Linked DNA regions of Xenopus tropicalis. The protein of the gene in region 1 binds, or shares a complex with, the protein of each later gene. Links are inferred from orthologs where the notes say so. Each region holds a gene or a part of one and is shown on either strand. Other genes may lie near its edges. The genes, in order: atp8b1 and tmem30b.

Region 1 (16,316 bases):
TTAAGCAGGATAGCCCCCAAAAAAGGAGACCGCAAAATTGTATATGAGTTTTTAGTGGGTGTGAAGAAGCATATTGGGCTGGGATTGGAGGGAGTATGACAATAACGTGGCAAGGAAAACATAATAGACTTAAAGAGAGCACACTAGTTACACTGTACTTATGAGGGGTAACTACTAAGCAGTCATCAGGGGGTACAGTTATTATATCCATAGGGTACACAAGTCATTTAAAGTCATTTTGACTCAACCCTCCCTTTCAACTTTGTTTGGCAGCAGATTTAATTTTTTTCCTCTATATGTTCCTGTGCTTTGCTTCTACTTTTCTCAAATCCATTATTAATATGGAAACCCTGTTATGGACAAACAATGACACGGCCAAACAATCAGGCACCGGAGAATCACCTGACACCTGCTGAGCTCAATCCGGCCTTCATTTTCAAACAAGTGTTTTGAAAAGCAAACACAGTGACGTCACAATGTAGAGATACATTAACCTGCTAATTGTATGTCTAACACTCAACCTACCTGCTACTGTTTAAAGGGGTAGGTCACATTAACTGAACTTTTAGCAAGATGGTAAGAAGAGGAGTTATTCTACAATATACTAAAGTGCTTTAGTGCAGTTTCTACAATAATCACATGGACTGTGGGGGGGAAGGAAGTTGATTGCAATGCAAAGTGCCTCCTTTCCCCAAAGTGTAAGGCTACATGGAAAAATGTGTAAAAATATCTGCTTCCATTCCCCAATGGAAATGCTGAATAAGCAAAGAAAAGCTTCCCAACACTTTCTCCATTTCTCCAGACTTCTGAATCACAGTCACCAAGCAATTAACTAATCAGCAAACAATCTCATTTGGCTAAAGCCCCACCTCCTCACAGTTGGTCGCTATACTACACACCAACACACAGGGAAAAGAATAGAATCCAACTTTGAAATGATGTCACAGAGGGCAATCTATATGCTGTCGCCATGGCTACAGGATGCAGTTGCAATTATCTTCTAAAAGATGCCCTGATTCACAAATCAAGGTGGGGGGGCAGGTCTATGATGTAAATGGCGATTGTCATAATGTTGGAAGACAACATTCAAGCAGAAATAGTGAGTAGGGCATGGTAGAAATGGAGCTTGGAGAGGGGATAGGAGCCAGGCTGGGGGTGGATTGAAGGCGGAGGACAAGTTTTCACAAACTAACGGGGCCCCGGCCCTGGCTGGTATTTTACTGGCGAGACTGGTGAAATATTGGCTGGGTGCATTTTTGTTTAAGTGGTACAACACTTTATGTCTAACATACCCATATTATGTTAATTTTAGCCCTTCCACTTCCCCTACCCCACCCCCCTACAGTTACCGGACAATATCCTTCTACTTTAGTCACTACACTGAGTATTGAGCCTTCATGTTAGGCTGGGGAGGATGAGGATGTAAAGATCCAGTGGACTGGAGGTACATCAGTACTCCGACCAATCACATGCTTGTACTGCCCTCCAGCCTGGCATGATGGCCGCATTCCTACTGCAGCACAACTTGAGCACATCAGTATCACTCTATGTTGGAGTCAAGGGGAGCTCTTTTTGTCACAAGTCAGAACAGACACTCCTATGGCTGCGGGGAGGGGTCACTAAGAACACTCTGCCTAGAGCCAAATAGGCAGGAAGAGAAAGAAGCAGAATGTAAAGAATGCCAGAACAAAAGAATGTGACCCATCTGTTACTACTGCACCTAAAATATACATAAAGCATAGCCTTTCCTTGACTTCCGCTGGGACTGTCGGCACATGTTCCTTTTCAACCGGCTAACCTGCACATACGTGTCCCATCATGCCATTCCCTAGCTATGCGGAGCATCTGAGTGGCACAACACTTTGCCATGTTTGTGCAGAGCTACAGAGAATAACAGACCCTTTCCATTACCATTTTTACTACAAGAAAAACTCCTTTTTGGCACGTAAGCCAAAATTCACATCATTCTAACAAGATTATCTACCAGACCACAGACAATTCTGAACAGCTTCTTAGAGGGACAGTGTGGTTGTGCCAGTAAGAGAACTTGCAATGGGATCATCTCAGGCCTTGTGTGACTTTGTTGTGCATAGACATGTATCCTATGGAATGATCTATATCAGGGATCCCCAACCTCTTAAACTCGTGAGCCACATTCAAATGGAAAAAGCGTTGGAGAGCAACACAAGCATGGAAAAAGTTCCTGGGGGTGCAAATAAGAGCTATAATTGGCTATTTGGTAGCCCCTATGTGGACTGGTAGCTAGTGATGTAGCGAACATCACCGAAAATGTTGACTTTCACCAAAACTCGCGAATATTCGCGAACTTTGCGAACCCCATAGACTTCAATGGGAAGGCGAACTTTAAAACCTAGAAAAGCCATTTCTGGCCAGAAAACTGATTTTAAAGTTGTTTAAAGGGTGCCACGACCTGGACAGTGACATGCAGGAGGGGGATCAAGGGCAAAAACTTCTCTGAAAAATACTTTGTAAAAAAAACGCCAAAAAAAAAACGCCAAAAAATAACGCCAAAAAAACCGCAAGCTATTCCTATGTATATGCATAGGTGATAAAACGAAGCGAAAAAACGCGGCGGAAAAACCAAGGCGAAAAAACGCGGCGCCAAAAAAAAACGCGGCAAACCCAAAGTGGCGAACATCGGCAAAAGTCCGCGAATTTGCGCGAACGCGAACACTTGATGTTCGCGCGAATTAGTTCGCTACATCTCTACTGGTAGCCTATAGTTTGGCTTTACACTGGGTTTTATGCAACCAAAACTTGCTTCCAAGCCAGAAACATGTTGCTCACGAAACACTGGTTGGGGATCACTGATCTAAAATGATGTATTTTATGGTATCTTTATGTAGATAGCAACTCCTGTTTGTATTGATTTCCAAGGAAGTACAATTTACAACATGACCAAGCAGTGTCACAGCCTATTCAGTGACAAAAGACCCAATTAGCAAGTAAATAGAAGGGAGTATCAACAAAGCATTCCGACCGCCCTTGCCACGCCTTTATCTGCCATTGTGCCGCCTTTCCTGGTTATAGCGTTCTTGATACAACTACATCAGCTACGTTTATTATTTGGCTTCGCATTTTATTTTGCTTACTATAAAGAGCTATGCTTCATCTCAGTTAAGGTGGCCATACACTGGCAGATTTCAACAGCCAATTTTGGTCCTTTAGACTGTTTTAGCAGCTTATCTGCCTGTGTACGGAGCCCTCCAACAGGCTTCACTGACCGATATCTGGCCAAAAATCAGGCAGATGTCAATTGGGCAGGCTTGATTTTTCTGTTGAGGCTTATTGATGCAGTCCTCGCTATGACTTTTCATATCTCCTGCATTGTAATGCGATCCTTTGGCTCTAGGACCAAATGATTGCATTAGCACGATATCGCGCACCCAAGGTGGGGACCTTGCCAAATGATTGAATGTGTATGGCCACCTCAACATGGGCCACAAATGGTGGCCATACACTGTAAGATTCACACCTTGCTGCCCTTTAGCTGTTCTCGCAGCATCCCCTGACAGCCATTAGCTGGGGAAATCTCATGGGTCCTACCCAGTAAATACAAACTCTACAGCTGATGGCCAGGATCCAGTCGCCAGTTTATCCACACACCTAGAATACCAACTTGGCTGGAATTTTAACAGCCACTGCCTATTTTAATGTATCATTGGCCTATAGGATTTTCATACCAGGCCAATCAAAATTTAGAGTCACTATGAATGGTTGCAATTTCCAGGTACTAAAAAGCACCAATAACACCAAAAAAACTGAGAACAAACAGGGAGTGGGGGACGCGAGTGGGCAGTCGGGTGGGTGAGTGGGTTGCTCAATACATTTCTTCACTTGTTTCCCGGTACATTCCAGGACACATCCGCTCCTGTCAGAGCCCTCTCTCTCTTTCACTCTGAATATCACTAAATTCCTCTGTAGGGAACACTCTCTCCACCTCTTCAAAAACAAACTTAGATCCCACCTAGAACATTATTTGGTCCAGTCTTGGCTGCCAAACCTTTGTGCACTTTGCCCTCCTATTTATGCCTGTATGTTACCCATCCACTTAGATTGTAAGCTCTACAGGGCAGGGCAAACTCGCTATGGACAGCGCCTAAAGGGTTAAATCAACAGGCGTCTATTTAATCACTTTCAGTTTTAAATGTTACTGTTCCTTTAGTTTTCCAGATTATGAAATATGTCCAACAACTCACCGCAGAGTTTTCCAGCTATACACCACATATAGAAAATGAGCACTGAATGCATGAAATGTATACACTATATATACACATTGTATATACTGTATACACATATGAACCGACTACTGGTGCCGCTGGGGTCACTAATCCAACACAAACAGGTCGCACTGGGACATATTACACATTACACAGTAGAACTGGGTGACAAATGCGTGCAGCAGGATTGGTCGAGTCGAATTTGGATAATGTTATCAGTATAAACACAGCCCATGCCTCCCTGCAAACAGATTTTAGCACTTCCCGATGTACAGAGCAGAGCGTATTATGTAGTTATGTTGCTAGTTATGTATAACGGCCTCTCTCACCTCGTCCCAAATACCAGCCAGTAGCAGCTTAAGCCTCTGTTTGCTCCTCAACACCCCCATGCCTGTACAGAGCAGAGCGGACCATCAGCAGGGAAAGGGTTAAATACAGTGACATTGCTCCCCATGTTACATAAGAAGCTGAATATATAGTTAACCAGGTGTTAACTATTAGCCTATTAATATTCAATCAACACATTTTTCACATTTATTAAAAAACAGTGTAACATCTCAATGAATAGCCAGTTAGGATTGGGATTTCACATATCCCAGTTTCAAAGGGGAGTCAGATCAATGGGATGTGCCGCGAGGAGCCACAGAACTGCAGTCGTTATCCAAAAGCCCCATACACGGGCCAATTGTAGCTGCTGATATTGGTCCCTTAGACTGATTCGGCAGCTTATCGGCCCGTGTAGGGGCAGCAATGACGGGCCTGCCCAACCGATATCTGGCCTGAAATCGGGCAGATATCGATTGGGTAGGTTAAAAAATTTAGTTAGATCGTAGACCGCATCAGCTCTTTGTGCCCTGCGGCTAGTAGGCTACGCAATCTAAAACTTGTGAAGCAAAATGTGCTCGATTTGCCGAAGCAAAAAGCTTTACTCAACAATTCCATTTGTACATCATGTGTAAGTTGCTTTATTCGCTACCTGCCCGCAATGATGCTGGAATCCTGGGAAAGCACTACATTTTGGGTATAAGAAAAGAAAACACAGTATTTCCTGTGATATTTATGGGGTTAGTGTATGTAATAAAAAGAAGGGATGAACAGTTTGGATTCGGCCAAGATTCAGCCTTTTTCAGCAGGATTCAGATTTGCTCAAATCCACATGCCTGGCCAAACCAAATTGACTTTTTGTCACATGGAAGTTGAAACATTTTCTCTTTATCCCTCCCTTACCCCAATTGGCATAAGCAAGTTAGGATTCAGATTCAGTTCAATATTTAGCCAAATCTTTCACAAAGGATTCAGGGTTTGGCCGAATCCTAAAATAGTGGATTCGGTGCATCTCTAAATTAAAGCAGTATCCCATACCAACCAACGAGCAGGTAGCATCTACTGGTCACCAGTTTAAAGCAAATATCTTATGGGTTACTGCTCCTGGGCAAACTTAGTGCCTTTTATTACATACATGTTACAAGTCACAAGCAGCCAATCAGGAAGCCCAGCCCTGACACCTTGAACTGCACCTCCCACACAGCACAGGCGTGATCCCCCCCATGTCTGCATGGCATAACTCAGAAATGAGCCAATCATGTTCTCCAATCCACCGACTGACCTGGCATTATATACAGGCATTACTGTATGTGTGGCTCATGGAAATATATAGATTTCAGACACAACCAAGCCTTCAATTAGCAAAATTCACTTTTACATTACAGTTTTAATCTGTACTCTCGCAGGGCCAGCTGCCCAATGGCACAGAAGTCATTAAGATATTCATTCATTTCTCCTTTCCACAGGGGCGGCGGGATCATTAATGAGAGCATGTTCTGTTTCCCAGCAGGGAAGGCATATTTATAATGTGTTCTCATTCACACCTTCACATTCTGTTCTCTGCACTGCTGGTTCTGACTACTAAAACAATGTAGCTTCTCCATCTCCACTATATGGCCAATAAAGTAAGTCCTAGCAGAGCCTGAAAATCAAGTGTACGGCATTATGCCAAAAAATGGTAAACAAGTCGAGACACTGGGTCTGTTGGGCCACACACTATATAAAAGTTTTCAGACATTGCATCACATTATTTGTGTTACAAACAGATTTATCCTTTTAAAACATGGGAGGGTGTGGTGTGAGCCTACATTCAGTTTTGCACAGTGGCTTCTGAGTTTGGTTACATGGGACACCCACCCAAAGGTTTGTGTGTTTTTGGCATAGCTAAATAACTTATTAATTAATTTAAATAAACATTCCAGGATACACTGATTAAAACAGTTTTTGATTAATGTAACTGCTATGTGTCAGTGTCTGTCTGTCTGTCTGTCCCTTACCATTTTCTTCTTTGATTATTCTTATCAATGAAGCAAGATTAGCATTCAGTCTCTGGGAAGGGACTGTGGCTGTGGGATAGCAGGTATAGTAGGGAGAGATGGTGCCTATAGTAGCAGTGGGATAATAGCCTCTGGGAAGGGACTGGGGCTGTGGGATAGCAGGTATAGTAGGGAGAGATGGTGCCTATAGTAGCAGTGGGATAATAGCCTCTGGGAAGGGACTGGGGCTGTGGGATAGCAGGTATAGTAGGGAGAGATGGTACCTATAGTAGCAGTGGGGGGATAATAGCCTCTGGGAAGGGACTGGGGCTGTGGGATAGCAGGTATAGTAGGGAGAGATGGTGCCTATAGTAGCAGTGGGGGGATAATAGCCTCTGGGAGGGGACTGGGGCTGTGGGATAGCAGGTATAGTAGGGAGAGATAGTGCCTATAGTAGCAGTGGGGGGATAATAGCCTCTGGGAAGGGACTGGGGCTGTGGGATAGCAGGTATAGTAGGGAGAGATGGTGCCTATAGTAGCAGTGGGGGGATAATAGCCTCTGGGAAGGGACTGGGGCTGTGGGATAGCAGGTATAGTAGGGAGAGATGGTGCCTATAGTAGCAGTGGGTGGATAATAGCCTCTGGGAAGGGACTGGGGCTGTGGGATAGCAGGTATAGTAGGGAGAGATGGTGCCTATAGTAGCAGTGGGATAATAGCCTCTGGGAAGGGACTGTGGCTGTGGGATAGCAGGTATAGTAGGGAGAGATGGTGCCTATAGTAGCAGTGGGATAATAGCCTCTGGGAAGGGACTGGGGCTGTGGGATAGCAGGTATAGTAGGGAGAGATGGTGCCTATAGTAGCAGTGGGATAATAGCCTCTGTGAATAGTATATACTATAACAATATATATGTAACATTTAACTTCTGCATTGTCAAATCTGTGATACTTGTATTGTTGTTGTTATACTATTTACAGTAATATACAGCCTTCTGCGGTGCTTACTGGGGGTTATAATTCAACAACAGCTGAATGACAACAGTCAAATTTGTGATACATTCTCACCTTAAATTGACCACAAAATTTATACCTCATAATGATAAAAATAAAGTTTTAACCACCATGTTATTAGCTCGCCCAGCAAAACAAATGCCATTGTACCTACACTCTGCGCTTGGATAGGTAACCAGTCTTAATTATCTAACATAATTAACTATTAATGGGTAAAAATCCTAAGCAGACACAATGGGGAATGTTGAAAATGCCACAAACAGGGGAAGAATATTTGGATTTGGCCCCAATGATGTTGTTTAATTTCATGTCTCTCTCACACGGAGCAGAACATTTCTGCGTTTTCTTGTTCTGGTTTGGGCAAAGTCATAAACATGAGGGCAATTGATTGAAGTCAACTTTTTGGTTTCTAAAATGAACTTTTTGGTCACTGACAACAAAACTTTGTTTTGACTGAACCCGAAATTTGAACCTTGAGTTTATTTCAAACTGCTTCCCCACAGGTCTTGGGTTAAACTACAACTCCCACATCCTAGCTGCTAGTAGTCTGGAATGCCATCAACTGAGCCCTTGTCAGCAGTACATGTTAATATTAATTACCACAATTAGAATTATTTCACCCCCCCCCAACACACATGTAAATGAATAGAACAAAAGGGTAGTTCTGTACAGTGGATTTTTAAACTGGGTGGAAACAAAGGGTTAAAAGTGCCTTGTTAGTACAACCTGGGAAGTGCATTGCTTTTGCAGGTCCCCTTATGCAGGCAATAGAGGCAGGTGTGAGGGATAAGGATAGGTGTAGGGTTTGGTATAGGAATTGGGGTAAGGATAGGGGTAAAGGTAAGGATAAGTATAGGAGTAAGGATAAGGGCATGGGTTTGTATAGGAATAGGGGTAAGGATAAGGAGAGGAAGTAAGGATGGGATGGGAGAATGGTAAGGATGGGATAGGTGTATGATAGGGGTAAAGATAAGGGTAGGGACAGGAATAGGAATAAGGCTAGGGATCGAGGTAAGAGTAGGGCTAAGGGTAAGGTTAGGGATAGGGCTAAGGGTAAGGTTAGGGATAGGGGTAAGACTAGGGATAGGGATAGGGGTAAGACTAGGGATAGGGATAGGGGTAAGACTAGGGATAGGGATAGGGGTAAGACTAGGGATAGGGATAGGGGTAAGACTAGGGATAGGGATAGGGGTAAGACTAGGGATAGGGATAGGGGTAAGACTAGGGATAGGGATAGGGGTAAGACTAGGGATAGGGATAGGGGTAAGACTAGGGATAGGATAGGGGTAAGACTAGGGATAGGGATAGGGGTAAGACTAGGGATAGGGATAGGGGTAAGACTAGGGATAGGGATAGGGGTAAGACTAGGGATAGGGATAGGGGTAAGACTAGGGATAGGGATAGGGGTAAGACTAGGGATAGGGATAGGGGTAAGACTAGGGATAGGGATAGGGGTAAGACTAGGGATAGGGATAGGGTAAGACTAGGGATAGGGGTAAGACTAGGGATAGGGGTAAGACTAGGGATAGGGGTAAGACTAGGGATAGGGGTAAGACTAGGGATAGGGGTAAGACTAGGGATAGGGGTAAGACTAGGGATAGGGGTAAGACTAGGGATAGGGGTAAGACTAGGGATAGGGGTAAGACTAGGGATAGGGGTAAGACTAGGGATAGGGGTAGGGGTAAGGCCAGGGATAGGGCCAGGGATAGGGATATGGATAGGGGTAGGGGTAAGGCCAGGGGTAAGGGTAGGGGTAAGGATAGTGAAAGGTGTAGGGGTAAGAATAGGAATTAGGCTAGGGGTAAGCCTAGGGATAGGGGTAACATAGTAAGTTGGGTTGAAAAAAGACATACGTCCATCACGTTCAACCTTAATGCCTATATATAACCTGCCTAACTTCTAGTTAAGAATAGGGTAAGAATAGGAATTAGGGTAGGGATAGGGACAGGGGTAAGAATAGGAATTAGGCTAGGGGTAAGAATAGGGCTAGGGGTAGGGGTAAGAATAGGAATTAGGCTAGGGGTAGGGGTAGAGATAGGGATAGGGGTAAGAATAGGAATTAGGCTAGGGGTAAGCCTAGGGATAGGGGTAGGTTTCACAAAGCACAGTGGGGCTGTTGGTAGTATGAGTAGCACTGAGCCCAGGGGAGCTGCCTACATTCCAGCTCTGAGACTGGGGGAAAACCACAGACAAACAACTGTTCTTACCTGAGAGGGGATAGGAGCCGGTCGTACCTCCCCCACTACCTCTTCTTCCTCCTTCTTTTCTGGGACCCAGCTAGTGGGGCCCCTGATTTTCTTCCATAGGAGACAATGGCAGAGCTGTTTCTGTACACCTAATCCATGCACACCAATGGCTTCCTCCCTCGCTGGGTTGTCACACCTAACAAACAAGTTTGTCAACTTTCAGGCAGCCTGTTGTTCTCCCAGAGCTGAGACACATTAACACTCACACTGTGTGTTCTCCCTTCTGAGCCCTGGGAGGAAATGAGGCATGAACTGGCTGCAGTCAGGGAGGGCCAGGGTGTGGGGTCATGTGACCTCAGGTAAGGGCAAGGCCTGTAGGTGAGTGCTGGGGTCCTGTAAGACCCTCCCCTCTCCATCACCTCCTCAGCCAGGGGCCACCATCAGCCCTCCCTCCTGTCTCTGCTATAGGAACCTGCTCAGGTTACAGAACTGCTCAGGCAAATAAAGAACAAGAGAGACAAATAGGAACTTCAGGCAAACAAATTAAAGGGTAAATCTCACCTGCCTGCAGGGCAGCACACGTATATAAGGCAACTGGTTGGATGCAGGAGTCACATGATTAGATACAGGGACAGCCAATGCCCTGCTATTCAGTGTAAAGGGAAAATGTGCCTTATTTATTTACAGAGTTTAGTCATTCTATCCCCCCATGAAAAACAATGGAGATAGTAGCTAATTGTCAGCTTAAATCTCCTGCTACACAGTGCTGTCCCTCTCTGTAAAGTGGGAAGTTTGTTTCATCTGCAGATGCATTCACCATTCATTGTAAATACAACAGCACTCCTTGTGGTCAAAAAATATATTGCTTTAGTTTTGTTGAAGAATGCACTTGAGCAATATGGCAGCTCCCACTGTATGCATACGTGCATATATTTAGGGTAAGGACCCATGATGTCTGCTCCCTTTTGAGCTATGGTCCCCATTCTGCCCTCCTGGGGTTTACAATCCCACCGCCCCTGACTGCCCTGGCCCAAGATCCCCTTTATGAACTAACTTTATATTTACCACTAATACAAGAGGGCTGATTCACTAAAGGTCGATAAGTTTTATTGCACGCTTTTTTGTGTTAAAATAGACGCAAAAATTAATGCGCGATTCGCTACAGTATTACCGCATGCGTTAATGTACGCGCCAAAATAATACTAATGCATGATTCACAAACACTTAGACGCGCTAAATATCGCATTAGTCTTTGCAAAAATTAACCCCTACTTGGGGCAGTCGGTAATTATAGAAAAGTACAGTTCCTGAGCTTTTGGCAACACAATACGGACTTTGCAGTGGGATTTATTCAGTCTGTGTTGGCCCCAGAGTGATGCAGCCGCCAGTTTGCAGGGAAATGGGCATTTTCAGTACAGTAATTTTCCGAAAGTAATGGCATCTATGACTAACATGGCGTGCGTGTTTTCGCACGCGGCAAATATTTGTACGCGGTGCGTTGATTAGCGCTCGTTCCATCAAATACCGCACGAAAATAGTCTTCACGACTAAAATAACGCAAACAGCATCGCGTCGAAATTAACGCAAGTATGCTTTTAGTGAATCGTGCGTTAAGACACGAAAAATTAGACGCGATAACATTTTTAATAATAACATTTTAGCGCTCGTTTTAACGACCTTTAGTGAATCAGCCCTAAGGGGTCTGGGGTCAGAGTAGCAGGATGCACCGGGGGAGGCACAAATCATATTAAATAAATAAAAGAATAAATATCAAAGACATGATCCTTATTTTATGTGGTGCTTTTCATAGCCGTAGCAATGGCTACTGTTGCTATTGACACTTGGCACTTCCTGACTCAGAGCCATTGTGATAAATGGGGATTTGCCCAGAGCAGGACAGGAGGCCCACCAGCAGACATGGCAGACCCCTCAGTGTAAGTGCTACAGCATGGTTATTTTAATTTCTCTGCTTTTTTTTACGGTGCCCCCTATTTTCTCATTTATTTACTCCACCTAGGGATCATGTCTGCTCCAGTAAGCGCACACCATTTCTATACTGCCTGCCTTGTTATACTGAAGTTTATGTGCTCGAGGGGCAGTGGGGGCCCACCAATTAAATCTTTTCCATGGACCTGCTGGGCAGGATTTCTTCACCATTCAAGTCAATGGGACAGCACCCTAGGCAAACTAGTGGGGGCCACCTCGCCCCCGCCTCAAGTGAGCTCTCATGTGTATGGTTACACCTGGGGAGGGGGAAATGACAAGCGGGTAGTGGAGAATGGGGAGCAGGCAGCAAGGGGATGGCACACAGGACTGGAGGGCCCCGACTAGGAGTAGGCAGACAGGAGAGGTACATGCCTAGTACCCCCACGCTGTTGCCCTAGGGAGCTGTAGTGTACACGTGTGATATAAACAGTCCCACGTGATGTAACATAATGATTGAAGGGACGAGCAGCAAAATGAATAATGTGGGTGGAGCACTTTAGTGATGCAAAAATGTCCGTCAACCCTCATGAGGAAATTTGTTAATACCTTGCAAAAAAAAAAGGAAAAATGCCTGGGGATCTACTGAGTCACATACGGAATAAAAAGCTCAGGTCGTCCTGCCCTGTGTATTTTTGTAGTGAGAGTTTCATTGTTTCCCCTTGCTTTTCTTTCTAGCGCCTCAGCTTGGCAAGGAAAGCCTATGGCACACTGGGCATTGGGACTGCCATGTCCGGCTACCCCTGCTTGTCATATTATTTATTGGAAAGCACCTTGGCTGATGCACATGTGAGGGGGCAGAGGGACATCTGTGCCATTGGTCTGTAGGACACGGAACCTAAAATCACTACAGCGTGGGATGCCATTGGCATTTCTAATGGTAAAACAGTGATATATCATTAAAATGAAATGATTGCTGATTGCTGTTAATTCTGTTCTTGCATATTGCTCTCACTAGTGCAGTATTCTGTTTTTATTCAGGTATGGGACATATTATCCAGAGCAGTGCTGTCCAACTGGCGGCCCGCGACCCCCCTCTGTGTGGCCCCCCACCTGTATGGCTGCTTTGATGGCTTACCTTTGAGTAAGCATTAAATGGTATCAGTACTGAGATTAACTGGCCCCCTGCATGGTTCTCACCTCAGATTCAGGCTGTAATCCCCCTGTATTGTTTAAAAATGTAATCCCCTGTATTTTTCACACCTTTTAGTTTCTGCATTGTTCACCCCATGCAGTGTTCACACCTCAGGCTGTAATCACCCACATTGTTCACTTCTTCACACCTCAGACATAGGTACTGTAGGCAGAGTATGGCACATACAGCCAGCATAGGGCAGGTAGAGTATGGCACATACAGGCAGCATAGGTCAGGGAGGGTATGGCACACACAGGCAGGGTAGGGCAGGCAGAGTATGGCACACACAGGCAGGGTAGGGCAGGCAGAGTATGGCACACACAGGCAGGGTAGGGCAGGCAGAGTATGGCACACACAGGCAGGGTAGGGCAGGCAGAGTATGGCACACAGAGGCAGCATAGGGAAGGCAGAGTATGGCACACACAGTCAGGGTAGGGCAGGCAGAGTATGGCACGCACAGTCAGGGTAGGGCAGGCAGAGTATGGCACACACAGGAAGGGTAGGGCAGGCAGAGTATGGCACACACAGTCAGGTTAGGGCAGGCAGAGTATGGCACACACAGGCAGGGTAGGGCAGGCAGAGTATGGCACACAGAGGCAGCATAGGGAAGGCAGAGTATGGCACACACAGGCAGGTTAGGACAGGCAGAGTATGGCACACACAGACAGCATAGGACAGGCAGAGTGCTGCCTGTGTGTGCCATACTCTGCTTGCCCTATGCTGCTTGTGGGAGGTGAACGTGGCAGGAGTTTGTTGTGGGAGTTTGTTAGCAGTTGGAAATAGCCATTAAATGGTCCCAAAGGTGTGTAATTATGTACTGGGGGTTGCTCTGCTATCCACAGGGGAGGAGGAGGCATATGGAATTTAAGGGTATATCTTAATATGACATAATTCTTTCACATATGAATGATGGTTGATATCCCCACAGTAAGGACCAAGCATTTGGGATTTTGCTGTGCTACCACAATTGTGATAAAATAGGTGTGGTTTGAAGTGGGTGTGGTTTGAAAAAGGGGAGTGGTCAAAACTGGCTTCCATTAGCGGCCCTCCACCATGTATGTTAGAGAAATTCCGGCCCTCGGCACCGCAGAAGTTGGACAGCACTGATCCAGAGTGCTCAGGAACTGGGGTTTTCTAGATAATGGATCTTTATGTAATGTAGATGCCCATACCTTAAGTCTATTAAAAAATGTATTTAAACAGTAAATAAACCCAATAGGATTATTTTGCCTCCAATAAGGATGAAGTACATGGCACTGTTTTATAATTACATCAAAAGAGGGAATCATTTTTGTAAATTTTAATTTTGACATTTGATTAACGCGGTTAACTTTTAGTATGATGCAGTTCTATTTTGAGACAGTTTGCAATTGGTCTTCATTTTTTAAATTTTTGAATTAGCTTTTTGCTCAGCAGCTCCCCAGTTTGGAATTTCAGCAGCTATCTGGTTGCTAGCATTCACTTTAACCTAGTAACCAGGCAGTGTTTTGAAAGAGAGACAGGAATATGATTAGAGGGGGGGCCTAAATATAAGTACTAAATAATAACAATAAAATTTTACCCTTACAGACGAATAGCTTTTGGCTGCCGGGGTCTGTGACCCACATTTGAAAGTTGGAAAGGGTCAGAAAAGGAAGGCAAATAATTCAAAAACTATGAAAAATAAAAAATGAAGAACAATTGAAAAGTTGCTGAGAATAGGACATTATATAACATACTCAACGTTAACCTAAAGGTGACCCACCGCTTAATTAAATGTGCAGTATCCCCACCCTAAATACAACTACTGTGATGCAACTACCATACAGCAGACCCTATAGGTACTGCAGGGACCCAGACCACAGGCTCTGCTATATGCTAGCCCCCCTCCTAAGCCCCTTATGCTGCTTTAAAGGAACAGTAACACCAAAAAATGAAAGTGTATAAAAGTAACTAAAATATAATGTGCTGCTGCCCTGCACTGGTAAAAGTTGTGTGTTTACTTCAGAAAGTCTACTATAATTTATATAAATAAGCTGCTATGTAGCCATGGGGGCAGCCATTCAAAGGAGAAAAGGCACAGGCACATAGCAGATAACAAATAAAACACTATTGTATTCTACAGAGCTTATCTGTTATCTGCTATGTAACCTGTGCCTTTTCTCCTTTTTTCCAGCTTGAATGGCTGCCCCCGTGGCTACACAGCAGCTTATTATATAAATTATAGTAGTGTTACTGTAACAAACACCCCCGTTTTACCATTGCAGGGCAACAGTGCATTATATTTTTATTACTTTAAAGCTCTTTCATTTTTTTGGTGGTCCTTTAATTCAGCTTGTATGTGCTGGACAGGTGGCCTGGCCCTTCTATGTTGCGCCACTCCTAAAACAGTTTTGTGCAAAATGAAAGAAAATGCAATGAATTCTAAGCAACTTTCCAATATACTGTATATACTCGAATATAAGCCTAGTTTTTCAGCACCCAAAATGTGCTGAAAAAGTCACCCTCGGCTTATACTCGAGTCGGGTGCCATGGGTCTCTCCAGACTAGCACCCTCTGTCCTTTGTGTGCAAATTAGGCCACCCGCAACCAGACCCTCCAGTGCCCTGTCCCACTCCCAAATTCATCTCCCATCCTCACCTGTCCCATTCTGCACTAGACATTGCACTTTATATTCTATATAAACCATAGTTTTGAAGGATTTTAACTCTTTGTGTTTTAGCTTGGTTGCTGATTGAGCTAAGGGAGTAGTACTCTTAAGGTATCATTGTTGATACCATATTGTTTTTGTTGACCTTCTTCTCCACTTACAGAGCTAGTTTAGTGTTTAGTGTTTATTTAGAAACATATGCCCCACTGATGCCTCATATAATGTAATTTTATTGGTATTTATTTTGATTATTAAAACTTAGCAGTAGCTGCTGCATTTCCCACCCTAGGCTAATACTCGAGTCAATACGTTTTTCCAGTTTTCTTAGGTACCTCGGCTTATATTCGGTTCGGCTTATACTCGAGTATACTCGAGTAAAAGATGTTTCCAAGTTCTTTTAAAAAAATATTTCTAAATATAATTACAATTAAAAGCAGTATTTATCCCTTCGTTTTCTATGGTTATGACTCTTGAAGCAATGCAGCAGAATGTAGTTCTCATGGAGGTTGGTTAATCAGCTGGCTTCTGCTACATTTCAAGAGTCAGAACCAGCATTGCACAGAATATAAAGGCATAGAGATACTGCTTACACCTACAAATAACCGACCATTGACATAAATATTGGAATGTTCTTTTATTATGGAAAAACAGTTTTCTGGTTGGACTCCAAGGGGCCTATTCACTAAAGTACGATTGTGTCCGAATGCTTAAAATTCATATTTTTTCAAAGTTTTAGAACTGTGCGCATTTTCTGTGATTTTTTAGTTAATTTCCGCAACTTTTTCGTACTTTGAAACAATTTTTGTGCCAAAATCGTATTCTTGAAACGAGAG
Region 2 (16,021 bases), on another chromosome or scaffold:
TAATAGTCCTCCATTTGTTAAATATGCTTCTAAAAATCCATAAGAATAAATAGAAGGTGGGTGAATTTTTCTGTGGCGAGTTCTAACTGCACATTTTAATAAATCTGCCCCTAAATGCTGAATGTTAAACTAAATGGGCTGAACTGTCAGCAGAAATAATAATTTCGACTGAACTCACAATGAGAACAATACTAGACACTGAATAGGAACAATTTCAATTGAATTTCAATTAGAGCTACTAAGAGCTTAACAAAAATTTAGACTGGATTCTTCCCCACTAAATTTGGCAGTGCAGAAGGTGGGGTAGGGTGTATTTGGCAGTCCAGTACGCAAACAGAAGTCATGTAACGCTCATGCATTGTGTCACTTCTGCAATGCACGCGCACCAAGGGCCACGCAGAGGGGCCAAAATAATCCCTGCCTCCACTATGATGTATGGCAGACAATTGTTTTAAGTTTTGGTTATGCAGCATGTATATTTCTTTATTGCCTGTACATCCTGTTTTTTATCGAGCTATGGTTTGTTTCTGTGCAGTAAATGTGATGACAGAGATCAACTTTTTGTCAGGAGGATAGAGGATTGGGAGAAGAAAGAATGTGCAATGCAGTTTAAATATAAATATGTTTTATTTAATCAAATATAAACACCAGGAAAACCAAAGAAATGCATTAACCATTTATCTAGTGTACAAAATAACGATTAAATAAAGAAATGTATTTAAAAAATAGCAATAATGTAATTCTAATTAAAAAGGATCACAACTTTGATTGTAGACAGTAATAAGAATATTATAATAATGTGCGTCAAAATAGATATGACTTCTAGATAATCAAAGTTTTGAAAAAGCAACCAATGTTTTGAAAAGTATTGCCTTGCAGTGAAACGGTCCTCCTGAAATTTTTCTGGTTTTAAAGTCTTTGTTTTTGGCATGTGGAAACATTCTTAACAGTTTAATAATGGCTTGGAAATGTATGATATAGAGTCTAGATTGTTCATGAATAGAAGAAATAACATAGGATGCAATATTAACTTAATTTTTAAGTCTATAATGTATTGCTGTCCTCGTCCTCATCATCCTTTTGTGAAGTTTTCAGAAATATAATTAATATTACAATTGCAAACAAAGTACACAAAGAACCAAATACAAGGTAGGCAATGCCTAGGAATGGGTTTTTTCCTCCCATCCAAGAGAGGCTACTGAACACAATCTTTTTTCGTCCATCAAAGCTTAGTACAGGATAATCTAGAAAAGGTATTGTTAAGGACTCAAACACAAACAAACACATGAGAAAGTTAGAAGATGCAGAGCAAACACTACATTTAAACATCTGCCAGTGGATAGCTTTATTAGTAGGCGAGTAGCTGTAATGTTAGGGTATAGTCTAAAATACAAACTATCAACAAAACTGCTTAATGCTGTACTAGCTTTGGTGTCCATTTCCTAAAGTTTGTAAAAACTATCTATAATTCATCATCCATTGATGGTGTTCTTTGGAAAAAAAATAAATGCCACTTCTAGTGCTTGCAAGTTCTTACGGTGAAGAGCAAACCACCACCCTGCTTTGGGGTTTGATAGGTAAAACATTTCTATATTGAGGAGCTTAGGCGAACAACACAGATCTTAACACACACCAATTGCAAACAGGACCATGTCTCTCCTTTGAACACACAGGACAGACCAGTCTCTTACAGACATCCAAGGAAGAGCCCTGTCTCCTCCAGGCATGCAAGGAAGAGCCATGTCTCCTCCAGACGTCCAAGGAAGGACCCATAGGTGTGGGAGTGCACCCCTTTTACCTCTACAGGCAGATCCTCTCTCAGCTGCCACATAATTACCTTACTGGGAGGGTATATTAATTCTGTCTGCACTAGATATCCCCCTGCAGCCCATATTATGCACCTCAAATGCACTTTCCAGTACATTTTTAGACAAGACAGGTGTGTTTTCTAAACACACTGTCACAGATCCTATACAGTAAATCTAAATGTCTGCATATTCATATGCTACTTAGTAGCAGCTACTTGTCATGGCTACTAAAATGCAATAAATACCCTGCCATAGAAAATACTGAGAATTGCTTCTGTTAACACACATGTAGAGACAATTATCAGTAAATGATCAGCATTGTCTATTTTGTAGCCATCACAAGTAGCTGCTACTAGTAACTCTGTGTCTTCACCCTTAGGCTAATGTGGAAAACTGCTTGCTGAAAATTCCGCCCTTCGCCTCCTACTTGTGCCTGCACCTGAATGAATAGAATATGCTCGGGTTCAGGCACATGTAGCCGATATACACATCGCGAGAGTTTGAAAGTCTCGCATTTTTATGGGTATTTCTGTTACATGTGCCTGCACCCGAGCATATTCTATTCATTCGGGTGCAGGCACAAGTAGGAGGCGTAGGGTGGAATTTTCGGCAAGTGGAAAAACGCTCTACGCCTTGTCTGGCATTAGCCTTAAGGTTTTTAGTGTTAGGTCTATGCATCTTGTCTTAGGAAAAGTATTATTAAAGAATAATGCAAAGCTGATGCTTAGCTTTTGCTGTGTGTTGGTTTGCTGATAATGCTGGGCTTTTAATCATTTTTTTAAGGATACTGTATACAATTTTCAGCAGATATTCCCCAGGCGGTAGACCTGTTGTAAAATTCCCAGACTCGATTCTACGATATAACTTCCGGAAAGAAGGCAAAGCTGCTCTTCGCATCCAAACAATGAAATCTTCGTTTATAAACCCTGTGTTAGACGGATCATCAGAAAGATTGTATGCAGGAGTTAGCCAGTTTGAAGGCTTTGCTGTACCTGTTGATATAGAAGATGACAATGTGTAATGTATTTATAAAAATGTTCGATGTTTGTACATTCACAAACTGTACATATCTGATATCAACATTCTTTATAGAGGCTGTATATGTATTCTGCATATTTATGGTATTTACTAACCAAAGTAATGCTAGATGAATTCTGTTACGGAACAGTTTAATAGCAGATTTTAAAAGACATGAGGGATCATTTCTAGCCACAAGTGGAGTGAGCATGCAGCTTCATTGTGCTTGCAAGGAGGCAATGTTCTTGGCAGAATAGCGCTGCGCCTACTATATTTGTGAGCATTTTAGCATTATTTATGCAACCGCAGGCAAATTTGGTTGCAAATTGGAAACATTTATGTGGAAGTCCATATGGTCTTTTATGGTCCTTTACTGTGTTTGCGTTCAAGTGACAGCTTCGGTCAATTATTTGGGCTCAAGTGTGCTGTACTTATTGAGGCTGAGTGCAAAGGGAACCCTGGAGCTACCATCTGGTCAGGAGGTGCTTGTAGCTTCAGGTTCTCCTGCAGGGTCGGACTGGGCCGCCGGGACACCGGGAAAAATCCCGGTGGGCCCCAGCGGCCCAGTCCGACCTTTGCAGGCGCTCCCCCAACTGACTGTTCCTCCCCTGATGCGTTCAGGGGGCCCTGCAGGGTAGGGGACACCTGCAGGGCCCCTGGGGCGGGAGCCCCGGTGGGCACAGCACCCCCAGTCTGACCCTGTTCTCCTGCATCAACAGACCCAGTGGCACTCAACTGGGAAAGTAAGGACTGCTGGGCCAAGAGCAACTATAAGGAAGTACAAGGAGCACATTTTGAGACAAGAACCTTCAATGGCAGTGTTTTTTTATGCACAACTGACTGGGGAATTTTCAGGTCAGCAACTGCACTTGCAGATGTAAATATGCCCTATGGTATAAAATCAGTTTATACTTCTATAATTAAGAGGGCATAAACAGGTTTAAGATATCCACAATTGTATTACTGCTGCTAACATCTAGAGCAGTGCTGTCCGACTGGCGGCCCGCGACCCCCCTTCTGTGTGGCCCCCCACCTGTCTGGCTGCTTTGATGGCTTACTCTTGTGTAAGCTTTAAATGGTATCAGTGCTGAGATTAACTGCCCCCCCTGCATGGTTCTCACCTCAGATTCAGGCTGTAAACCCTCTGTATTGTTTAAATATGTAATCCCCTGTGTTGTTCACACCTTTTAATCTCTGCATTGTTCCCCCCCTGCAGTGTTCACACCTCAGGCTCAGGCTGTAATCACCCACATTGTTCCCCTGTTCACACCTCAGACTGTAGGAGCAGTAGAAACCCACAAATAATCCCTGCCTGTGTGCCATACACACAGGCAGGGTAGGGAAGGCAGAGTATGGCAGGTTTTTGCTGTACTACAACCATTAATATAGGTATGGTCATGTAATAACACGAGTTTGGTTTCAAGTGGGTGCGGTTTCAAAAAGGGGAGTGGTCAAAACTGGCTTCCATTATCGGCCCTCCACCACGTAGGGCGGAAAAATTCCGGCCCTCGGTACCACAGAAGTTGGACAGCACTGATCTAGAGCAGTGATCCACAACCAGTGGCTCATAAGGAACATCTTGCTCGCCAACCACTTGAATGTTGCTCCCAGTGGCCTCAAAGCAGATGCTTATTTTCAAATTCATGGCTTAGAGACAAGCAGACCCTGTGTTAGCGGGGGGGCAACTGCAGGGTCTGCTTCCTACAATGTTCGAGCCTGAGTTGTGAACAATACAGGGTCTTAATTGTGCTTAAAGCCTGAATCAGAGGTGTAAACAATGCCAGTTAATCTCAGTACAGATACAATTTAAAGCTTAAGGGCCGTGACACACGGGGAGATTAGTCGCGCCATGCCAAATCTCCGTTGCCGCGGGCGAAAAAAGCTGGTTTAGTAAAATTTGATTTTTATTTGTTATCATCAATTTTTTCCCCCAAAGAAAAATGCATTTTTTTTACCTTCTAAAACCTGCCGAGATGCCATGGAAAGTCAATAAAAAGTTTATTTTCAACATTCAAGCAAAGTTGTAAATCAAGTTTTTTTTTTCATTAATTGCCTTTGTTGCCATGCAGCAAAACACAGTTGAGGTTAACCCATTCCAGAATTTTAATATATATAAGATAGACAATCTCAGGAAAAGTTTTAATCACAATTATGCAAGTTTTTTCCCCAAAAACTATACATTTTAATAAATATGCCCCTTAGCATTTGGCCAAATCTGAATCTTAATTTGGTGCATCCCTAAAAAAAAGTGAATGATTAGTTGCTGCAGAAAACATTTACATCACATGTTCATCAAATTACAGGGCCATTGTGGTAAAAGTATAGTTTTTTTTTAAAGAAATAATATGTCAGATTTACCATTAAAGACTTGAGCTAAGGTTTCATTGCCGTTTGTAGGATTTTGGAATTTAACATTATAATCAGACCACCATGAGATGCCTTTTCTTGTCAGTGGAACTTCAACATATGTTCCATTGTCCTTATAGTGCAATGAAATGACATCTAGAATACAGAAACACAATATAATGCATAAATATATAAATACATTTATATATTTGTAGATAGATGATTGATAGATAGATAGATATTTTTTTGACAGTACCATTTTCTAAAAAAGAGAAAATTCTTCTGGAATCAATAGAAAACAATGAAATCATGAATCCATCTTTAAAACCACTATAACATTTGAATTGTCAAAAGCATCTTATAAAATAGGCCACCAGAAAATGCCACTATAAGGTACTAGTGAGCCATAGTGTGCAATAGAAAAAGGCACAACTGCTTTCAGTTGCAATTATATTTGTAAGTAATTTATAAATATGATTTAGTAACGTTTCAGTGTTTGTTATAAGGCCACGGTATGGCACTTTAGTGGCAGTGCCTACTGGCAAATCAAAGTTAATAAAAAGACACGGGGGTTATTTATAAAATTCACGCAGTGCAGAATAATTCGCTCAGTGAACATATTTGCCCTGCCTGTGTTTACGTTTATAAATCTGGACAAGACTGGTGCATTTAATTGCAAATTTTTTATTCGCAGTGTGAATGTCCTTAAAAGCTTTTTAAATGCAACCACGTTACACCACAACTTTGGTGGTGGAAAAAATATTTGCAAATTGTGAAATTGCTATATTTGTGCACAATAAACACACAAATCGCAATCCCATTTGCCAATTTTTGTGCAAGATTCACATTTCACTGCAGTTCGCAACAAAAGGAAAGATGGGCGCAGCAGTGCAAAATGTAAGTGTTTAAGGGAAAACATGCACAAAACAACCATTTGCTAATTTTTTTTTCTTTGCAAACTTTATAATGATTTCATAAACATATTAAAGAGGGATATAGTAGAACCCTTCCAAATGTTTAAAATGGAGTGTACCCTATCCAATAATTTTGCAGTCAATAACGCAAGACAAAATACAAAATTGTGGTATACATTTACAGCCAATAAAATGTGACAGAACCATTTTATGAAATTACCATTAAACATGCTGTTTGCAACAGCACCACATGGAGCTATTGGCAAATTTTTTGAATCCCACTGATATGGAGAACAGTAATTAGAGGGGGCCTGAAAGACAAAAAAAAAAAAAAATAGAAAAATAGAAATAAATCAGTTTGCTCATTTTTTTCTAACCAAAAGAATCTTAAAAGTAAGAATGTATCTGATATTATCATTCATTATTTATTAATAATAATATTACATGTATAATGAATACAGATGATACATTTAATCAATATAAATCATCAAAGTTTTCCCCAATCTAATTCCTAAAATTGATATAATCTGTTAAAATGTTTATAATTCTGAGTCATTGTGGAAATGCTTTGTACATTAAATGAAGGATAAGTGATTGAACTCCATTAAGTGAATCTGTGGATTAAGTTGTTGTGCTCCTGCAAATGGTACTAGAAAGCTCTTACCCCCATATGCAATAAATGGCGCTAAAGTTGCCCCAGAGTAGTAACCCATAGCAACCAATAAGGTATTTGCCTTGAAACAGGCAACCACTAAATGCTGCTTGCTGATTGGTTGCTATGGGTTACTGCTCCTGGGCAAACTTAGTGCTTTTTATTGCATAAATCCATTTGAGCCAACAGAATAGAGGAAAGGTATGGGTGTTTAATATGGTTTCCAGTTCCCAAATAAGGGAACCGTCTTATTTTTACAATGAGAGGAACTCCTTTACATACCTTTAGATTGTCAATTAGTCCACCAAGTTGCTTTGGATCTACGGAGATCATATAACGATAGTGGTTCTGGTAGTAATTAGACAACTCATAATACATACAAACAGGTCCCTTAAGGAAAAAAAGAGATTTTTAGTATACATTTTAATTTCAAAAATACATAATAATGTACTATACACAATGTTTCCATGTCTCATAACAAAATCACAAATGTTTAATTGTCCTGGTGCTTAAATTAAAAGCTATTCACTCTGGTGCTTATAAGATGCAAATATGGGGATGATTTAGACTGTATTGCCATTTTCTCCACCTGTGTAGAAAATACCGGATGTGGCATTAGCCTTACTGTGTGTTATCTTGAGCTAGGTAGGATATTTAGGGTTGAAGATATTTGCCTGCTACCTGTGAAGACTTTCTTCTCTACTTACAAATGCAAATATATATATTTTTTTGGCAACTTGCAATTCTTTTTATTAACTAATTGTTTGTCATGTTAGCAGAAGTTCATTATGAATTTGTATATGTAGTCCTGTCTATATTTTCCACTATCCAGTGCCATCTGAATAGTAAGGGTAACATATCTATATGCTTTTCCTGGACTTGTTTTCAACTTCTTTACAAGCAGTAGTGTGTTCTAATATTACTTGGTGAATGTACAGCCATAGAGCAGCAATGCATTATCATATTATATTATATCATATTATAAACATGGCCATAAAATTGTCCTTTCACCCTATAGCTTTACAGTACTTCATCTTAGCTATGGCAAAAGTATATGCTTCCTTATTTATACAATATATACAAATTATTTATTTAAAAAGAAATGTAAATATAGTTCTGGAAACAAAGAGTATTTGGTTTACCTGGAAGAATTCTGTGATGTTAAATGGGACATTACATGTGCAACCTCTTGATTCATTTCTGCAATTATAGCAGTAGTCTCCAAGCACAGCACCAGTGTAGTCAAACTTAAAAATAAATGAGAGAAGATTCATTCTGAAGTGCCTAGTATCCTACTCTATAGGCAATGATGGTGTGCCCCTCCTAGTATTTCCCCAAACAGTTTTTGGGGCCGATTCACAAAAGGTCGATAACACTTATCGCATGCTTTTTTGCGTTAAAAAGTATGTGATTATTAAGATTCATCAAAGTCATTTCGTATGCGTTAAGACAACATGGACTTTGCAGTGGGATTTTTTCAAGTCTGTGTTGGCCCTAGTGATGTATCCTCCAGTTTGCAGGGAAATGGTCATTTTCAGAACAGAAGTTCTGAACGCGGCAAAATATATTGCGTGCAGCGCAAAAAAACTCATCGCAAATTAATAACACAAACAACATCACTTCTTAATTATGACACGTGTCCTTCTAGTGAATCGAGCGTTAAGGTGCAAAAAGTAAGAACGCATGCTATAAATAGCGCTCATTTTATCGACCTTTAGTGAATCGGCCCCTTTATGTAATTAATGTAATTAGTCACATTAGTTTGCAGGTCTGCTAATCTCATCAGAGAGCTTTGAACATGAAATAGGTCCAAGCTCACCAGTCACCTGTGAGGATCCAGCTAAAATGCACAATTGCAAACTACTTTTAATGATAGTGTGGAATAATAAATGTATAAATAAACCAGTAACAAAGTTGCCAGATTATGTTTGTTGTCCAGATGTTAAATGTTAATTTAACATATAAAAATAATATATATAAGGAGTAGTCAGTATTTGTATTTTTCATGTGCCTTAAGAATATGGACTGGTAATTTGGAGGGTTAAGAAAGTATGCCCTCATATCTAGTGACAATATTTATTAAACCTTTGAGATTATTTTTTTTTTTTTTATTAAGATAGCCATACTGATTTAAGTCATCTACATGTTCAGATATGGACCGTACATTTAAATGCAACGATCTAAAACATTCCGACTGAAATTGTAGGATAAAGCCCTAACAATAACAAATTGGAGCATGTGCTGAACATGAAATAGTTGGCAGACACCAATCGTACAAAAGTGACTTCCTGGTAATGCATTGTAGGTCCCCCAAGGATATCGTGAGATACACAATACATGCACAGCTTATATCGTTATCCAACCAAAATTTTCTAACTAAGTGACTGATCGCCATGGTACGAAAATCATCGGGACGAGAATTGAGAGCCCACACATAGCTGAAAATTGTACGAAACGTATGGCCAGCTTTAGCTGACATGCTATCACCCTTACCTCACTTTCCTTAATGCTGTTTGAGGAGTAGTATAAACCTAAGCCAATTGCTATAAAAGATAAGCCAGCAAAAAAGAAGAAAGGAATAACAATGCTAGCAGAGAGTAGTGGTTGCCATGCTGGGAGTCGCTGCTGAGTAAATGCAGTGTTATCTGGTCTCTGTGATGGAAGAGGCTCCTTAATTGTGAAGTCTGTGGAAGAGGATTTCATTTCCCAGCTGTTGCAAAAAAATGAGAATGGCAAGAGTTATTTCCCCTGCTGTTCCTTGAAATGTCCCTTACCAATTTCTCTACATTCTTCCCAAGCTTTACATTTTTGTTTATTATTTTGTTCTGTCATTTAACATGACTGTTCATCTCTAACCTGTTTCCTTTCATCTCTGGTGGTGAGCATCATAAACATACAATATTCCTAAAGATAGCGCTTTCTAGAATCTCTACAGTTAATTCTATGCATATATAGTACCTAACTCAAAAGACCCATACATATACATATATACATATATATATATATATACACATATATATATATATATATATACATATATATATATATATATATACACATATATATACATATATATATATATACACATATATATATATATATACACATATATATACATTTCTAGAATGGAGAGCACACCACCGTTCAGGAGCGATACCTGGGTGCCAGAGCAGAAAAAACAGAATAGAGAGGCAGGTGTCGGCACTCGCAGGGTTCTCACGATAAAGACTCATGGGCAACAAAGCTTTGTTGCCCATGAGTCTTTATCGTGAGAACCCTGCGAGTGCCGACACCTGCCTCTCTATACATATATATATATATATATATATATATATATATATATATATATATATATATATATATATATATATATATATATAGATACACACACAATCAGTCAATTGGGGTGCTGGGTCAATTAGTTTTAAGAGACGTATAGAATGAATGAAAAACCCCTAATCTTGTATGCAATAATAAATAATATATGGTGGTGACCATTAACTTTAAAAATGGCCCCTTAATGGGGCTCCCTTTATATCCTTTCGAGTCCCTGTTTCTGTTGAAATGAGGGGTGGACATGTCCTAACGGTCCCTACCAGAAGCACAGTAGATGGGGTATAGAACATTCCTTCTATATTTAGAGGAGTATATTACACTGGCACATTCTTGTTTTGCACACAATATGTCCCCTTTAAATATGCACCCAAGGATCCATACCCCATTAGTTTGTGCAAATAATCTCTTTATTTTCAAACACTGTGCATTCCAATGTTTCGGTACCTACTGGAACCTTTACAAAAGGATATTTTGCAAGTAAATATTTTATACTTAAATACTTCCACAAAAGTAAAAAAAAAATGCCCAGGTGACTTCATGATAATCATTAGCATCAATTAAGAGCAATTTCAGCTTCTTGCTCACCAATAGTGTCCCATTCCCATGTTTATATTTGAGGTCCATGGTCATATTTTGTTTCAAATACAGTAGCAGTATGCCTACAAGGCAAAATGTTATACAATTTATATATTGAAGAAAAGGAGAGATCTGCTTAATTTAATGACTACAGGCAGCATCTCCAAACATTGGTTTGTAAGTAGGCACTTCTACTTAATGGTGGAGGCTTTCGGATTAACTATCTGTTAACAGCCTGAACCCATAGAACATCTGAACATCTGTTTGGAATATAAAAAGGAAAAGACACTTTGGCATTTTCTATAACATTGAGTAATACCTTAAAGGAGAAGGAAAGGTAAAAACTAAGTAAGCTTTATGTATGTATGTATAACTTTATTTATAAAGCACCTCAAGGGTACGCAGTGCTGTCCAATCCTACAATATACAAAATTACACACAGGGAGGACAAGTGTTATAGTAAATACAATAAATAAGTATAAATACACAGGAAATAAGTGCCATGTGGCATGGAACACAGTAGGAAGGAGGTCCCTGCCCCATAGAGCTTACAGTCTGCAGTAAGTGGTTGTGTAACATACAGGCACAAATTGGAAGGTATGAGTGCACTAGGTATGGGCATTTGCCCTTAAGCGCAGGACTAGGCAAAATAATGTTTTAGTGCTCCAAAAGGTAGCATCTGAGTTTTATCTTAAAGAGAGTAAATGAGTGTTCCCTACGGAATGATTCAGGGATAGAGTTCCATCAGAAAGCTCTACGTAAATACAGTCATAAGCACTCACAGAAAAGCTACACTAAGTCCTCTATCAAAAGAAACACAGGATTTCTTGTCTCCTTTTTTGTAAATATGTTCTTAGGGTATCTAAAAAAATCCTTCATTCCTGGGGTCAGAGTCTGCACAGTTCTCTCCTCTCTCCCCTCTCCTTCACCCCCTCCCTCAAAAACACTAAGAACTCCTCCCTCCCCCCTCCCTTAGGAATGTGTGATCCCAGCTATAATGGCTAGAGCTATACAACAGGAAGCTATGAAGACCAAGCTGTGGCACTAATGTGACAAATCTATTGGCAGTAAAATGCCAAAATGACTTTCCTTCTCCTTTAACCCTTTCACTGCCAGCCGTTTTGAACAAAATGGAACTTCTACTGCCAGACAATTTTTGAACATTTTACACTGTTTCAATTTAGGGGCTTTTCCTAGGGGGGACTTTTAGTTTACCCAGGAAAACTATATATCCGGTTTTTCAGGACAACCTAAGCTTTCAAAATATGGTGGAATTTTTGTGTAATTCCAATTCTGTAACAAGATATAGGCTTCTAAATGTCTAAAAAATGAAAAAATAAATAAATATTTTCCATAATATAAACACATATACCAGAAACAAAAATTATTTTATGCACAAAAATACAACTGATTTGGAAAGTCCCATGTCTCCTGAACGCGCCAATACCAAATATATATAATTTTATGGAGATTTCTCACTTGTATAGGTCAAAAACTCCCAGCAGTACACTACCAAATTTCCAAAGCACTGCTTCAGAAAGCTGCATACTTTAGATTTCAAGGTCACAAATTCCACTAACAGAAGGTTTATCCCAGAAAATTATACATTTTTAGAAAGAACAGATTCTGTGGAATCCAGAATAGGTAGAACTGTCTGTCTGCTCCAAACTACCAAGTTGCAATGCTTTCCTAAAGTTATTTGTTTTTATCAAAATTTGTGAAATTTCTTAAAAATCGCTTCAAAGCTTCCTGTCTATAGTATCTTATCTCCTACAGGTCATAAAGTAACCAAATAAAACACCCTAAATTTGAATGCCAGGGGTCCACTGAACAGTTTGATGCCCAATGTGTATAGGTTTACCTAAGTATGTGGCATGTAGGAGCCCCAATGTGAACATACCCCCATATGATCTATCATTTCTGTCATTCCAGCTTCTGCAATATCAACACATTTACATCCTTTTGTGTGGGATAACACTACAAAAAAGTACGCTCACCCCAGAAAGCCATATATTTTTGGAAAGTACACATTCCCCCAAATCTAAAATGGGTACCTGTGTCTTTCTACTCCAAAGTACCAAGCCACAAAGCATTTCTAAAGTTAGCAATTTTGATGACAATTCCAAAAATCCCCTCAAAGCTTCCACTTTGCAGCATCTTATCTCTAATGTATCAACATAAAACACTCTAAATATTAACGCTAGGGGTCTACTGAACAGTTTGATGCCTTATATGCATAGATTTACCAAACTATGCGGAGTACAGGGGCACCCAAATGAAAATAGTGCATATGAATTTTCACGAATGACACTCCGGCTCATGCAGTTTTTGCACCCGGTATGTGTATTATGTGCCATAAGACCCCCTAACAGTAAGGAGACCCTAGAAAACCATATATTTTCTGAAAGCACACATTCTGACAAAACAAAAATGGGTAAATACATCTTTCTACTGCAAACTACCAAATTACAAAGCTATGCTAATTTCATGGCTTACCTTTACCTAATTCATAAACACATGGCAATTTTATGTGGGATAGAAACTGCAGAAATGTAGGGTGACCCCTGAAAACCATATATTTTTGGAAAGTACACGTTCAGACAAATCCAACATGGGTAAAAAGTCCTTTCTACACCAAAGTACCAATCTGCAAAGCTTTCCTAAAGTTAGTGGTTTCTATGACATTTCAGAAAATCTACTAAAAATGTTGCAATTTGCCACATTTATCTCACACAATTTCTTGCGTACAAAGGAAAATCACCCCAAATAGGAACACCAGGGGTCTACTGAACAGTTTGATGCCCTATATGCATAGATTTACCAAACTATGTGGAGTACAGGGGCACCCAAATGAAAATAATGCATATGAATTTTCACGAATTACGCTCCGGCTCGTGCAGTTTTTGCACCCGGTATGTGTATTATGTGCCATAAGACCCCCTAACAGTAAGGAGACCCTAGAAAACCATACATTTTCTGAAAGTACACATTCTGACAAAACAAAAATGGGTAAATACATCTTTCTACTGCAAACTACCAAACTACAAAGCTATGCTAAACAGAATGGTTTTTATAACATTTATGAGCTAAAGGGGTTGAGGAGACCACCTCATACATATGCAAATAAGTCATAGAAAAGCTTGCATTTTGCCCCATTATGTACCCCACATTTCATAACGTACCAACATAAAGCACCCTAAACATGAACGCCAGGGGTCTACTGAACAGTTTGATGCCCAATATGCATAGATTTACCAAAATGTCCATGTGCAAGACAAGTAACAAAGAACAATATGAAATGCAATAAAATCGCTAAAATCACAAAAAAAACCCTAAAATCAATGTTTAACATTACAGAGTGTGAACGTGAATCTGGCAGCAGTTCCAGCATATTGGGTCCGTCAACCTACTGAACTAGGTATTCAGGATGTGACAGAGAAAGGTGGGAAGACGCTGGGGGTGTGCTGACCTACTTTAGTATTCTGTGATATCGTGTGCAGCTGGGAGACTGGGAGAAGATTGGCAAGAGAAAACAATCCTGAAAGACTAACACTCTCAAAAATACTTGCTGTGTGATCCAAGTGGGTAATGAACAATAAACAAACAAGAAATGCTTAACGCCAGTTTTCCATTTTATATACACACAATATCTGCCTTGACATCGCTACTCAATGGGGCCGATTTACTAATCCACAAACGGATCGAAAGCGTCCGAATGCATTTTTTTCGTAATGATCGGTATTTTGCGATTTTTTTTCGTAGCCGTTACGACTTGCGCGAATTGTCGCGACTTTTTCGTAGCCGTCGCGACAAACTTGGAAAGGTTTGCCCGCTGTTTACTAGCGCTCAATACGAAAAAGTTGTGACAATTTGCGCAAGTCGTAACGGCTACGAAAAAGTTGCGATGGCGACGAAAAAAAACGCAAAAAATACGAAAAAGTCGCAAAATGTTCGTTTCCAATCCGATTTTTTCCCCATTTGGGATTCAGCCCCAATGGGTTTATCTCAAGAAAAAACTGTACCAAATTCTCATTTAGGTCTTTAAACCCTATAATTCATGAACCCAATGAGCCTTTCCCTTGAGAAGCAATTCTGATCAAATACGACTCTTATGCATCTGAATACATGTTCAATGCGCATGCACCTGAATGCAGAAGGACCGGGTTTTGCTTTCACCCACTGTTTGGCCACAGCTTGTTGGGTAATATCTTGCTTTTTGTGCTTAACTTCTATGATTCTATAAGGATCATGGCCTGCACATATATTTGATCTAAAAGCTATTGTCTCTCCCAGCTGGAGTGCGAGATCTATTATCCCACTACTCTGTTAGGGGGAGCAATTTCATAATTATAGGTGCCCTTTAATCAACTGGATCAGTGGGGCTTATTACCTCCTTTAAATTTCTGCCTCATGTATAACTAATCGTAGGTTTTACATTTTTAAAAGTGTAATATATCATCAGTAATTATCATTGGCTAATGCTTTGGTGGACATACCTGCTACAAGGGCTGTAACAGCTTATATAAAATAATATATTTTTTTTTAATTCTCTCATTTTCATTGTCTCTAATTCTCTCATATTTCAGCATGAACATGATCCAATCTCTGCACCCAAAATTTTCATTTTAGGAGGTACCCTCCCTCTTGCTAAAAATCAATCTTAGATCCTCTGATTTTTTGCTTGGCTGATTCTGAGAAACACTTGGCATTTAAGATTTCGGTAGAGAATTCAAAAGGTCTGTAACCTTAACATGAATAGATGTGTGCAATCTACTTTGCTCCTTACAGACAGTCACATCTAGAAAATCAATATCAGAAATTACATAGTTTATAATAAATCTGATTGGAGAATCCAATTATTTGCAGGACCAAGCATTCCTAGCTTAAAATGGTCTTTTTTTAAACAATTGTTTCAACATATACAGTACTGAGAATTAACTCATCTAAAACACATGTAGAGACAATTATACAGTAAGTAAAGGATCAGCATTGTCTTTTTTAGGGTGAAGACGCATGGAGCTACTAGTAACAGCTACTTGTCGTGGCTACTAAAATAGACAATTCTGAACTAATTTCTGGCGTTTAGTAGCAGTGAAAAAGTAGCTGCTACTAAGTAGCTCTGTGTGTCTTCACCCTTAGTAGCCATAACAAGTAGCTGCTACTAGTAGCTCTGTGTGTCTTCACCATAAAGGTGGCCATACACATATGTTCATTCCCTCCATTGACGTTCAGGGCTGAATCATCAGATACGGAGGTAGAAACAATAGGTATTCTACCCCTATCTGACAATTTAGCCCTAAATGCAGATTTTGCTTGGGCGCCTTCAACGGTGCCCGATCAAAATCTTTTGACCCATCCAATCAACGAGACAA

What was found.
Region 2: the proteins of atp8b1 (region 1) and tmem30b are in contact, whole or in part, in a cryo-EM structure (PDB 7VGH), measured with the Homo sapiens proteins. The link is inferred for Xenopus tropicalis from reciprocal best matches to the Homo sapiens genes ATP8B1 and TMEM30B. Residues at the interface, in NP_001361314.1 of Homo sapiens: Trp362, Val366, Ser369, Ser370, Trp371, Tyr372, Leu373, Tyr374, Asp375, Gly376, Phe418, Trp421, Asp422, Leu423, Tyr426, Asp431, Pro433, His939, Trp942, Arg946, Tyr968, Phe971, Asn972, Gly973, Ser975, Ala976, Gln977, Leu1003, Gln1005, Phe1049; in NP_001017970.1 of Homo sapiens: Gly9, Ala10, His11, Gln12, Pro13, Asn15, Phe18, Thr19, Gln20, Gln21, Arg22, Leu23, Pro24, Ala25, Trp26, Gln27, Pro28, Leu30, Ser31, Ala32, Ala35, Leu38, Phe39, Phe46, Leu49, Leu53, Tyr109, Tyr111, Asn116, Phe117.

Annotation. Positions count from the first base shown.
Region 1 is NC_030677.2:201,978,730-201,995,045, reverse strand, and holds the start of atp8b1 (phospholipid-transporting ATPase IC), read right to left. Parts: upstream 10,022-16,316; 5' UTR 9,758-10,021; intron 1-9,757. UniProt on the Homo sapiens protein: Catalytic component of a P4-ATPase flippase complex which catalyzes the hydrolysis of ATP coupled to the transport of phospholipids, in particular phosphatidylcholines (PC), from the outer to the inner leaflet of the plasma membrane.
Region 2 is NC_030678.2:89,246,281-89,262,301, forward strand, and holds tmem30b (cell cycle control protein 50B), read right to left. Parts: upstream 9,444-16,021; 5' UTR 9,441-9,443; coding exon 9,231-9,440; intron 7,985-9,230; coding exon 7,880-7,984; intron 7,128-7,879; coding exon 7,020-7,127; intron 6,397-7,019; coding exon 6,306-6,396; intron 5,328-6,305; coding exon 5,184-5,327; intron 2,801-5,183; coding exon 2,597-2,800; intron 1,245-2,596; coding exon 1,045-1,244; 3' UTR 609-1,044; downstream 1-608. UniProt on the Homo sapiens protein: Accessory component of a P4-ATPase flippase complex which catalyzes the hydrolysis of ATP coupled to the transport of aminophospholipids from the outer to the inner leaflet of various membranes and ensures the maintenance of asymmetric distribution of phospholipids.